Linked DNA regions of Caenorhabditis elegans. The protein of the gene in region 2 purifies or fractionates together with the protein of the main gene of each other region. This does not show direct contact. Each region holds a gene or a part of one and is shown on either strand. Other genes may lie near its edges. The genes, in order: acp-6, tli-1 and F26A3.1.

Region 1 (3,871 bases), on a different chromosome or scaffold from region 2:
ATAATAAGTGTTTTTCATTAGCCCCTTTGTAATTTTAACCAAATTTTCTACAGTTTTCTACAGTAGTAATTCTTCCAATTAGCTTTTGGTGTAGCCCTTCCAGAAGGCACCAAAGATCCGAAAATTATGTTAGAGCCCTACGAACTCGCGAATGCCTCAATTAGCACAATGGAGCCATCGCGATAGGAACCCGGGAGGCATATATACTAGACAAATCCTACCGTATTCTCTGCAAACTTTACTTCAGCCTTCTGCTCATGAAGTCTCAAAAATTCTGTCTAATTGAAATTCAAATTGCCACGGCGCAATTCACGGTCATTTGAACTCACCTTGAACTCTCGCAGATTCTCGGAGAAAAACCGGAACTAAAGTTTTCTCGCGATCTTTGTGGTTTTGTGAAACAGAGAAAAAAAGAGTAATTGGTGTATTCAATTGGAAGAAATTGAATTGAAGATGAGATGGTGAAACATGGAGTTTTTGAGTTCAAATAAACAATTGATCTTCTTCATGTTTGTCTGTTTTCTATGTGTTTTGTGTATTTCATCTTTTTCTTTCATTCATTTAAAATTGTCTCATTTTCAATTCATTTCTCCCTTCCATGACAATTTCGAGGCCAAATTGAATTGAAGTTTGGTCGTACCTAACAGAGTATAAAAGAATGGCACAAAATGTTGAGAACGTACATCCAAACATCCTTTCTGTTTGTGATCTATATTTTTATCATGATATTTTGGTATTGTCACGTCTGGTCTCTTGTCACGGCCTTGAGAAATCCTTTAATGACAAGATCGTACTAGGTAGCATGTGATTTAGATTTACAGTACTCAAGTATTGCTATCCTAGGTACATAGATAGAAAAGTTAAAAGAATTATTTTTTGTAACTTGAAAAAAGGTAATTTTAAGATAAAGTTAGCATCTAGTGCTCGATCGGTTTCAGGATAGAAGTAAAATTTTGAAATTTTCTGTTAGTAACAGTTTCCAAAATGTGCCATGGATGCATGTTAAAGTAATTATTTTACAGCTTGAATTTAAAAATAGTGACTGATTTGTAGGCCCACTTCTATCGCGCCTGCCTTGTGCCTTTCAGTTGAACCTGACGAATACCAAAGTTGTACGGCAAGGGTTCGCAGATCATTGAGCACGCGGGAAGGTACGAGGCCGGCGCAGGCTTCTGAACTAACGTGATATTTCATTTGAGATTTTTTTAATAAAATTATTAGTTCCGTGTTTAATGGTTTCTCTATTAGACCAACAACTAACGGTTTTTTGTTCATTCTGTTTCAATGAAACGGTAACAAAACACCTGAAGATACTTTTTATTTCAAATCGGGTCATATCTTCTTTTAATTCAATTTTATTGAATTGTGTTCTGTCGTGTTATCTTATCAGTTTGTTATCGTTTCAAACAAAACAAAAACAGTATATAAACGCCGGGTAAGATGGAAGTTCACTGGCAATTCAGTGTTCTTGTGTAATTAACTGATTACCAGAATTTTAAATTTGTCTAGAAAAGCTCTCAGAATATGTATTTTTCAACCTGAATCTATCATTCTACAATCTCCTACCTTTTAGTCTAAACAGTAAATGCCTTCTTGCGGACCTGCAACGTTTGTGGAATAGGCATGTAGGTAGTCTAGTCATGAGAAGCTTTATCAGTTTTCATACTTCTTGGTTTGCTCTCATTAAAAAGTGATATGTTTCTTCAACTTTACCGTTGTATTTTACGCCACCTCAGACAAAGAAATTATATTTTCAGGTATGAACCTTCTACTATTTTCTGCCTTGATCTTGGCTACTTCAGCCGCCCATCTTCTCCCAAAGAAGTCTGTTGCAATTGATAAGAACTCGGTTCTTGTGCTGTTCGGAACTCGTCACGGAAACCGTCATCCAGAAGTTTTTCTCCAAGAGAATCCAAGAAGCTGGGGACATGAGGGAAATACTGAATTGACTTCAGTAAGTATTAATTATTGGAGTTTCTAAATGAAATCTAGTAATATTTCAGTTCGGAAAGCGTCAAGGACTTGGATTGGGAAAGGAATTGAGAAGCTTTATTGGAAATTTGATCTCTCGTAACTACAACTCATCTCAAGTTAAATATTACTCCAGTTCTGCCAACAGATGCCAAATGACTCTTCAGGTATGTGGCGAATTCCGAATTCAAAGTAAAATAATCAAAATTTATCTAACTATAAGTTGCCACATTGAAACAGTAAATTTTTAGACTGTCACTGCTGCTCTCCACGATCCAGAACAATGGGGGGATTGGGATAAGAAATGGTACGATCATTGGTCTCCAGTCCCATATGCCATTGATGATCCACTTCTTAGAATGTACGCTGTTAAGGAATGCAAAGGAAATGATAAGGGTACGGTTGTACTTGTATAATGTGAACATATAAATCCTGATTTTACAGTCTGGGGCCCAATCGACAAGGATTCCCTTCCATTCCTCAAGAAGCTCAAGACAAGCAACGCAGCTGAGCTCAAATACTTCTCTGACAACACCAAATGGAACATGGAGAATCTGGGAAAAGCTGCTGATTTGGCCGATAATCTCATTGAAATTGATCTCTACAAGGCTGAATATCCATCATGGATTAAGGCTCCAAAGTTGAAAGGATACACTTTCGAGAAGCTGAAGGCTAAGATTCTGGAATTTGCTGAAGTTCATCAGAACGCTTGTGCAGAGTACGGACCATGCGGAAACTTGATGGCTGGATATTGGCTTCAGAATTTGATTGATAAGGTTGCTGATGCTAACGCTGGAAAGGGACCACAAGTTATTGGATACGCTTCTGTAAGTTATTTACAACCTGTCAATATTAATGTGAAACCTCTATTTCCTGTGAAAAAATTATACAAATTTCAAATTCCAGCACACCGAAATCACTCTTTCCGTCATGAAATTGATGGGATACGTGAAGGATGAACTGACCACCTCCGCTGGATTCGTAGTTGAATTTAAACGTCTTCCAAAACCAGCTGTCCGTCTTCTCAACCATGATCCTAACCCAATCGATGATCATGTCATCTATCCAGCTGAACTTACTCCAAAACTTAAGAAATTGGCTGACAAGGATGGATTCATTCCATTGGAACAATTCTTCGCCTATGCAAAACAATTCGTAAGTTGGAAAAATAGGTTAGATTATTGTAACAAATTAACATTTTCAGTCCTTCTCCGATTGGAAGTCTCAATGCGACAAGGCTTAGATTCTTTGCATGAATTTATAATAATCGTTTGATTCGCTTCGTATGTACTAATGTAGTTACTTTTTAATAAATAATTCGAAAGTAATCAATGAAAATTGCAAAATAACGGAGAATGGGTTACTGTGCTCATTAAAGGGGTATACCTCGATTTGGAACTATTTTTGCGATGAAAATCGTTTTTTTTTCTATTTAAAAGATACGTGAAGCTCCATGGAGAACAAAAAAAACTCCAGACTGGAAACCGAAGTGTTTGGATATCGTCCACTTGATACACTGCAACTTTTTCCTCACGAGGGACGAGGAAAAGTGGTTTCTAGGCCATGGCCGAGTCCCCGACAAATTTCAGCGGCCATTTATCTTGCTTTGTTTTCTGTGTGTTTTCTTTCGTTTTCACCGATTTTTTTCCGTTTTTTCTTATCAAAACTAATAAATAAATATTTTTTGCAGATGCTAAAACAATTTCCAAGTGAAAAAATTGTGAGTTCAGTCGGCAAGTAGCGGTAAAAGTGGTCAATGTAATATGATGGATTACGGGAATAAAAAACCCAAACTTTTTCCCAAACATGATACATATGCTGTTTAGATGCTAAAAGTACCTGATTTTCATAACGAGACCGCTGAAAAAGTTTTGAGATTTTCATAATTCAACATTTTGTG
Region 2 (4,331 bases):
CAGTGACTCATTCAAAAAAAAAATAACGAGAGAAATGTGAAATTTCGAAAATATAAATTTTAACTTTTAGTTTTACAGAGCTGATATAAATGTTCTTATAAAACGGTTAAAGTAGAAAATTTACTTTTTGAAAAGTTTCGTTGACCACCGACATCAAGACATAAACTTTGTGACGTTAAAAGTGCAGACAAAACTGCAAAAAAAGGGGAAAAAAGATAAGGAATTCAATAAGAGAAATTAGATTTTTAGAAAAAAAAGATGAAGGAAATTGGTATTTTGAGAAGTTCCATTAAACTTTGACGGAAGTTTTAATTTAAAACTTCAGAATAAATGTTTCGTAGGCTAATCAAGCAATAACGAAGATATTAAGATTTTTGGAACAAAAACCATTTTTTTCTTATATAAAACCTATAAAGCTTTCTTAAATGTTCTCTGCCCACAGAATGGACGTCTTCAGTTCTTTTCCCCGAAAAAGTTGGTCGGGTCCTCTGGGGAATAAGACTACTGAACGATTGAGAGAGACTGAGAGACGTAGAGAAAGTGTACGAACACGTAGAGTACGTAGAGAAATAAACAAAGAATTGAGATGGACGATAAGAGAGTGTGTAGTAGAGTAGAGACGTAGGCATCGTCCTTGTGGAAAAGGGTACGAGAGTGTCTGGTAGAGTGGGGAAACAGTTAGAGACGGAGAGAAATAGAGTATGTTTACTGCCATTCTAGTTGTCATGACGATTTGGTTTTGAGATATTTTTTAATGATACTTTGGAATAATTTTATGATGGTAGAACTTTTGATTGTTGTTTTTCATGCTCCAATTTTGGCATGACATCATCTTTTTTTGAAATTTCACAATATTTAGTTCAAATCACATGTTCATGTTCATCACAAATATTTTTATTGTAATTTTAAAGTTTATATTATAAATACCAATTTTTATTTCCGAATTTTGTGTTAGCTGTGCAAGTCATGTTGGTTTTTTTGCTCTTCAAGAATATTCCATTTCTCACATTTAAAGTTCATCGATTTTTGGTCAGAGGAAAATCTCCCCTAGTTTTTTTTCTGAAAAAAAGGTTTTATATTTTTGATATTATATTTTTGTGACATTTTTGAGAACTTAAAAAATCAAAATTTATTTCCAGTTTCTGAATTTTTAAGTAACAATCACAGATATTCATTTTGTTTATTGTAAGCAAAAAATGATTAATTACTTATTTTGAAATTTTAGTTCAAAAAAGCATTTTCTTCTGCCAGTATTTCCAAAATTGGCCAAATCGAGCAGCCGAATTGTTAAAATGAAAAACCTAAAAAATTTTGAAAAACTAGACCCTCATTGGCAGTTTAAAGATATTTCAGATTTCTCCCTCGACTTGCTCAACTTAGACGTTTCATATCTTTGTTGTCTTCAGTTTTTTAATTGTGTAATTTTTGAAAAAATAGGAATATATTCTATCTATAATTTATCAGTTGAACACTTCTTGATACACCCAAAGAAAACCGAGATATAATCAGTAAAATAAATGCAGTAAAAGGGTACAGAAGTTTAATTTAAAAAAAGGAAACAGTATATTAATTTCAGCAGTATAGTTCCCTCATTTCATGTTCTCTCACTTTTCTGAATCCAAATATGCCCATTTCCATCTATTTTGTTGTTGTTGACCAGTCCCTTCTTATCGATTTTCCTCTTCTTTTTCTCTCGTTCTCTCCAGCTCCCAGACACATTCTCAGTCTCTAAAATGACAATTTTCATTAAATTTTTAGTTTTTTTGTCCTGCAAATTCTTTTCCTCCTTCTTTGTTCAGTCTGATGTCTATCAGTACCTGTTTCTGCTGAGTCATTCAACAAACATTGCCAAGTCATTTCAGAAACCAAAACAAATACTGATCTTCCGTGAGAAACAATGAATACTGAGACTGTTGCTGAACGTCGTAGACAGGTTAGGGAAACAAGGGAAAAATATATATTCAAATTGTTTGTGAACATCTTAGCTGACCATTTTTGGAAAATAATGTTTAGAGAACCTATAAAAACTAATATAAAATCAGGAAAAAAAACTATAAAATATAGTTGATTGTCAATTATATTTCTATGAAGACTTATAAAATTTGCAAGAGTGTAAAATTCCCTACTATATTTTTCAGAGCTTGCTCAAAACTGTTTTTTTTCTCTCAATATCAAATTTTACAGGTGCTCGTTGGAGAGCTTCCACCTCACTTCCTTCGTCTGGCAGTCCCAATTCAACAAACTGCTGAGCCAGAAATCGTTCAGCCTCGTATGGTGAGCTTTGTGCCACCAAATACACGTGGACGGCTCTCAGTGACAATTCTCGAAGCGAATCTTGTCAAAAACTATGGTCTTGTTCGAATGGATCCCTATTGCAGGTAAGATTTTTTTTTGAAAATTAAATTTTTTAAATCAAGAATTTTATCTGAGAACTATTTTGTCATAGCCAAGAGCGTCGTCAAAAAATTTAGATTTTTTACAGAAAATGAAACATTTGAAATTGAAATTCAAAAATTGTAAAGAAGTTAAAAATACATATGTACGAAAAAAATTGAACATAGATTTACAATCAATTTATTATTTTTATCGTTAATTGTTTTTCATTAGCGAATTGACTTTTTTTTAAAATTCTGTCCGATGTTCAAGCTAGATACTTGTGAAAAAACGAAATATTTTGTAATTTCCAATTTGCAGAGTTCGTGTCGGAAACGTTGAATTCGATACAAACGTGGCAGCTAACGCAGGACGTGCTCCAACCTGGAACCGAACTCTCAATGCCTATCTTCCAATGAATGTTGAGAGTATTTATATTCAAATATTCGATGAAAAAGCATTTGGACCAGATGAGGTTATTGCGTGGGCTCATATCATGCTTCCACTGGCAATTTTCAATGGTGATAACATTGATGAATACTTTCAATTGTCTGGACAACAAGGTGAAGGAAAAGAAGGAATGATTCATTTACACTTCTCGTTTGCTCCAATTGATTTGCCATTGCAACAAGCCGCACCGGCAGAGCCAGCTCCAGCTCCACTGCGTAAGTTGTGGAATTTGTAAAATTCTAATTATGACTTTATTTTTGATATTTTTCAGTCAAAATTTTTGGAAAATTGTCAATTGTTTGAACCACTTACAAAATTGGAAAATTAATATTTTTTAAATCAAAATCTCATTTTTTCAGCAGTTGAAATTACTGAGGAGGACACTAAAGAGATCCAGGAAATGTTCCCAATTGTCGATAAAGAAGTAATCAAGTGTATTCTTGAAGAGAGAAGAGGTAAAATATTAGAGATTTTTATTCGTTTTCGGACAATATTGCTCATTTTGTATGTTGTTCGGAGGCAAAAACTCAATTAAAATGTTTGAAAAATTTCAAGTTACTGGTAGAAAATTTCCAGAATGCTGTTGACTTTAATTTTTTTGCCTGAGTAAAATTTATATATTCCTGAATCAGGAATCCTGATAATGTTTTACAAAAATCTGGCAAACTGTTTTCCAGTTTTATAAGAAAAATAAGAAATATTTACTTACAGTTTTCTGTCAGAAACTTAGCTGTCAATTCAAGACCAATTTAATATACATTGTTAAAATATTTCAGGTGACAAGGAAGCCGCAGTCAGCGCAATTCTGGAGATGACAGCAGCAGCCGAGAGCTCCTAAATTTTGCATTTTTCATGAAAATCAAAAAAATCCTAGTCTACCCACCTTCTCCACTGAATCTCCCATCTCATTTAAAGTTGTGAATCAAAAAAAAGTCAATTGGAATCTATTTATTGTAATCAAAATTGATGTATGATTGTGTATGTATAAAATAAAAATATGGAAAACGAATATATTCATACAATTAATTTAACAAAATAAAACGAGCAAAACTATTCTTACACTTTCTTGGTTAGCTTTAGAAGCTTACATTTCACATGTCCTGGATTTTATCAAAAAATTGTCATCTCATCATCTCCAGCCGTACAAAAGCGTGGTTTTCCACGAAACTTTCAGTTTTCTTTCAATTAAAATATCTGCCAATTAAACGAATAACTCATTGCCAACCCCGTCGATTCAGAAAACAACTCTACAAAGTGATAATTTTCAGAATAAATGTCTCAAAATTAAGTTTGAAAGCGAAGGTAACAGTGAAAGAGTTTACAAAAAATAAACGCAAAGAACATTACACAATTGACGCATATGTTTCTGGTAGCCCTTATGTATTCGTCAATAAAAAAATTGGGAAAAGATGGAAGTTCAAAGTTCATTCTGATGCACACAACAAAACCATTTCGGAAACTACTCTTGATTATGCACTTCAAGAAAAGATTAGGAGTATCTATGCTGA
Region 3 (3,961 bases), 2.9 Mb from region 2:
GTTATGAATGGTGAATTTTAATCTCGTATTTTTGTTGAAATATGCCATAGACTCTGTTAATGTTTTTTCTTCACTTACATTTTCAAACCTTGTACTATTTTTTCTGTTTTATTTATTTTTAATTCCTTCTACCATTTGTATTTGTGTGTAAACTGACCAATTCCATCATCAAATGATTGATTAATAATTTTAAAATATTTTCTCCGTGGTATAAAACATTTATTTATTTTAGATTTTCGTTTCGTAATCGATATTCCCAATGTTATTTCGTTATCCAATATCTGCTAAATGAGGGTTGATAAAATCCAAATTCAAATAACCTCGGGTTTCAGTTAAACAACACGCGCTACGACACTCCGTTCTCTTTTCGAATTTTGTTCGCTGAAGAGTGTGTCTGTTTCTTCGTTCTTTCTTTTAAAATGGTCTTCGATCCAAGAACATTGGATAATCCTAAGGAAATTAGTGCTTACAGAGATCAAAGATACCAGGTAAGCCTTTTGTTTTAACAACTTTTCGGGTTTTTATCGAATAAAAGGTGTTGTTGCACAATACGAATTCAAATTTGTAGTTCTCAATTTCAGGGAACCGTTCGAGACCAGGAGACTGCTCTACGCACATCATGTACACTTTATGTTGGAAATTTATCATATTACACTAAAGAAGACCAAGTCTATGAGCTGTTTGGAAGAGCCGGTGACGTCAGAAGAGTGATCATGGGATTGGATAGATTCAAGAAAACTCCTTGCGGATTCTGCTTTGTCGAGTGAGTTTTTTCCGCGATTTTCATTGCTTCTCTGGACTTTTAACCCGAACAAATAAAATTTAATTAATTTTTATTTTTATTTATTGATTTCCAGATACTACACAAGAGAAGACGCTGAGCTGGCTCTTCAGAACATCTCAAACACTCGTATGGATGATCGTGTAATTCGTGCTGATTGGGATGCTGGATTCATTGAAGGACGTCAATATGGAAGAGGAAAACACGGTGGACAAGTTCGTGATGAGTATCGAAAGGATTATGATCCAGAAAGAGGAGGCTACAATCGCGCTATTGCTCAAAAAGGTTAGCAGAATAAAAAAAAATGGAAAAATCGTTTTAAGTTGTTTCAAATTGGTTTTTTTATTCGTGTGACTATTAAGAAAAATGAATCTTCTACATTTTTCAGGCGGTGACCGTCAATAATCGTTTCCAAATCCATCCAACACGATCCTCAATCATCATTCTTCAAACAAAAAAAATCACAAAATCTGAAAATTATTACCGTATATTCTCTATTAGTGCTGCATCTCCAGTAGTACTGCAGTCTCTAATAGTGCTGCACTCAAAAAGGGTCCGAAAATTAGTGCTGCAGTCTCTATTAGTGCTGCACCCCATTTTCTACTGAAAGAGTCACTCAATACATAGTTTTGACATTCTGGGGAGTGTTTTGTATATTTTTGAAGATTTCTAGTTAACTTACAAACATAATTGAGTTATTAGGTCATTTTTGTTACAAAATTTCACAATTTTAATGGATTTCTGCTTAAAAGGTGAGCATTTGTGACTAAAAACTAGTGATCTCCAATTGAAAATAGCCGTTCGAAAATTAGTGCTGCAGCCTCCAGTAATACTGCAGTCTCTAATAGTGCTGCACTCAAAAAGGGCCTGGAAATTAGTGCTGCATGCAGCACTAATAGAGAATATACGGTATCTCTGTTTCCATCTTGTTTTAACGTTTTATTTATTTTTCTGTTTGTGTTTTCTTCTCCAAACTTGAGATAAAGCCATCTTCCTCCATCGATTTTTTACAGATGTTTAAAAATAATTATTGAGGCAGGTGAAAATTTCCCAACACAATATCATTCTTTCTAACCGCATTTTTCCAGTTTTTCTTATTTATTTACATATAGATGACCTCAATTCTTCGAAAAGTGGAATGGGTTCGAGTAGCAGGGAAATGGACGAAAATGTCCGTCATGGGGTTGGATATTTCAGACGAAACGCTGAAAATTCAGAAGAAAAAGGAGAACGAGAATCGAGTGATTATTTTAATGATTCCAGGTAAATCGGGAAATTGCGCTTTTAAAAATTTAAGAAAATTTTAATTTCAGGAAATCCCGGAAACGAAGGATTCTACGCTCATTTCGGACGAGAAGTTTTGCAAAATTTGATAAAGAAAGATGAAGATGAGCAGAAAAACTTGAAAAATCAATATTTATTCTACACAGTTTCAAGTCTCAATCATGTTCGAATGCCAGATCATTTGAAAGATGATGGAGAACATCGAAATCATGGTAATAAATACAAATAAAACGAAGAACCGTTCACTCCAGCCTTTTAACTTATTTAGTTTCGCCGATTTCGCAGTATTTTTCGCCCTTTTGTTTTTTTTTCAAATACCTAACGAGACTCATGGATCCGGTGCGGAGCGCGTTTTTACGTCGATTATAATATATTTCCAGACCGAATTTCTCTGGAGGAACAAGTCAATCACAAACTATCATTTGTGAAAGAGCACCTGCCACGTGGAAAGCAACTGTACATTTTGGGGCATAGCATTGGTTCGTATATGATGTTAAGAATCATTCCTGAAGTGATAAAAGAAGGATTCCACGTGGAAAAAGCTGTTGGACTGTTTCCAACGATAGTTCATATGGCAAACTCACCAAATGGGAAACGATTACATGGAACTTTAGCTGTAAATTCAATTTCTTTATTTTAATTTTTAATTGTAAACTTTCAGACATTGAACCATCATGATTGGCTCACAAAAACGATTTGCTGGTGGGTGGATTACCTGCCAAACTCGATCAAAAAATTTCTTGTTGGATTGAACCTGAGACATCCTAATGTAAATTTTTTTTTGAATGTCAAGCAACAAAAAACATAATTTTTCAGACTCCCCCAGAGATCGTCGATGCGGCAGTTGAGCTTGTCCATATGGATGTGTTCAGAAATATAGTTCACATGTCAAACGATGAACTTGATATCGTTTTAGACCTAGATGAGCGTCTTTTGGAAAAACAAGACGTGGTTCATTTCTATTATGGCCTCAAGGATGGATGGTGTCCAGTGCAGCATGGTATTGACCTTGAAAACGTTGTGTAGATTGAAAATAAAATTTATAGGATACTCCATGCGGGACAGACTTGGTGAGGAGCAGGTCACATTGGACGAAGACAATTGTGAACACGCTTTTGTTATTTCTGAAGGAGACATTATGGCGAGAAATGTTATAAAATATTTCGATTGATCAGTTGCTCCGAGTTTTCCGTACTTCAACCTGTGATTGCATTACCTAGAATTTTATCTTTTAATAAATATAAAAATATTTGCACATTTTATTGTTTTTCCTTTTCTATGTGTTTGTTTCTAACACCTGTTAATATTTCTTCAATTGATTAATTGATTTTATTTAAGTATTTAACAGGAGCTCTAGTTATTACTGCCAGGATTAAGTGGTGACGAAACAAACTTTATTGCTCTCTACTGAATTCTAGTCTACTTAGGCTTAGTAAACATTAAAAAACCCCTTTTCAATTCCGAAAGTTCCGTTTTTAAATAAAAAATAAATAAAACGGCGCGAAAGCATGTGCGCTCTAATGCAAATTTGAAATCGAAGAGAGCGAAACAGCAGATTGGCGTGCTCTAGTCGTTTCAGTCATTACCTCGTTCTTTTGTTTCTTTGGAAACTGTTTTATACACGAGTCTTTAAATGTTTAAAAAGATATTTTGTAATTTTCCATTTTTGGGACATATACAGATCATTTGTCGCCCCGGTATTTTCACTATCAGTGGAAATGCAGAGAATAACAAGATATTTTAACAATTCGACATGTGTTATTCTTTTTCTGAATGTCTATCTTTTTGTTAATTCATTTCAATTTTCAAATTTTCAGTAACCCACCCCTCTCATGCCACCGAAGAAGCGAATTCGCGGGCCGAAGTTGCCAGCACTTCGTGAGGAAAAATCAACTG

What was found.
Region 1: the proteins of tli-1 (region 2) and acp-6 fractionate together in Caenorhabditis elegans (co-fractionation; one large-scale study listed by BioGRID). This does not show direct contact.
Region 3: the proteins of tli-1 (region 2) and F26A3.1 fractionate together in Caenorhabditis elegans (co-fractionation; one large-scale study listed by BioGRID). This does not show direct contact.

What each region holds. Positions count from the first base shown.
Region 1 is NC_003282.8:6,424,026-6,427,896, reverse strand, and holds acp-6 (Histidine phosphatase family protein), read left to right. Parts: upstream 1-1,757; 5' UTR 1,758-1,759; coding exon 1,760-1,954; intron 1,955-2,003; coding exon 2,004-2,138; exon of another isoform or gene 2,139-2,208; intron 2,209-2,222; coding exon 2,223-2,367; intron 2,368-2,415; coding exon 2,416-2,798; intron 2,799-2,877; coding exon 2,878-3,126; intron 3,127-3,175; coding exon 3,176-3,214; 3' UTR 3,215-3,297; downstream 3,298-3,871.
Region 2 is NC_003279.8:10,535,614-10,539,944, reverse strand, and holds tli-1 (CUE domain-containing protein), read left to right. Parts: upstream 1-1,856; 5' UTR 1,857-1,897; coding exon 1,898-1,933; intron 1,934-2,184; coding exon 2,185-2,378; intron 2,379-2,694; coding exon 2,695-3,038; intron 3,039-3,182; coding exon 3,183-3,278; intron 3,279-3,599; coding exon 3,600-3,661; 3' UTR 3,662-3,830; downstream 3,831-4,331.
Region 3 is NC_003279.8:7,639,700-7,643,660, reverse strand, and holds F26A3.1 (Lipid droplet-associated hydrolase), read left to right. Parts: upstream 1-1,893; coding exon 1,894-2,044; intron 2,045-2,094; coding exon 2,095-2,277; intron 2,278-2,445; coding exon 2,446-2,681; intron 2,682-2,726; coding exon 2,727-2,834; intron 2,835-2,881; coding exon 2,882-3,065; intron 3,066-3,111; coding exon 3,112-3,236; 3' UTR 3,237-3,313; downstream 3,314-3,961. Other genes in the region: rrf-1 (RNA-directed RNA polymerase), read left to right, coding at 1-21; ncbp-2 (Nuclear cap-binding protein subunit 2), read left to right, coding at 420-488, 582-763, 858-1,066, 1,170-1,186; Condensin complex subunit capg-1, read left to right, coding at 3,898-3,961.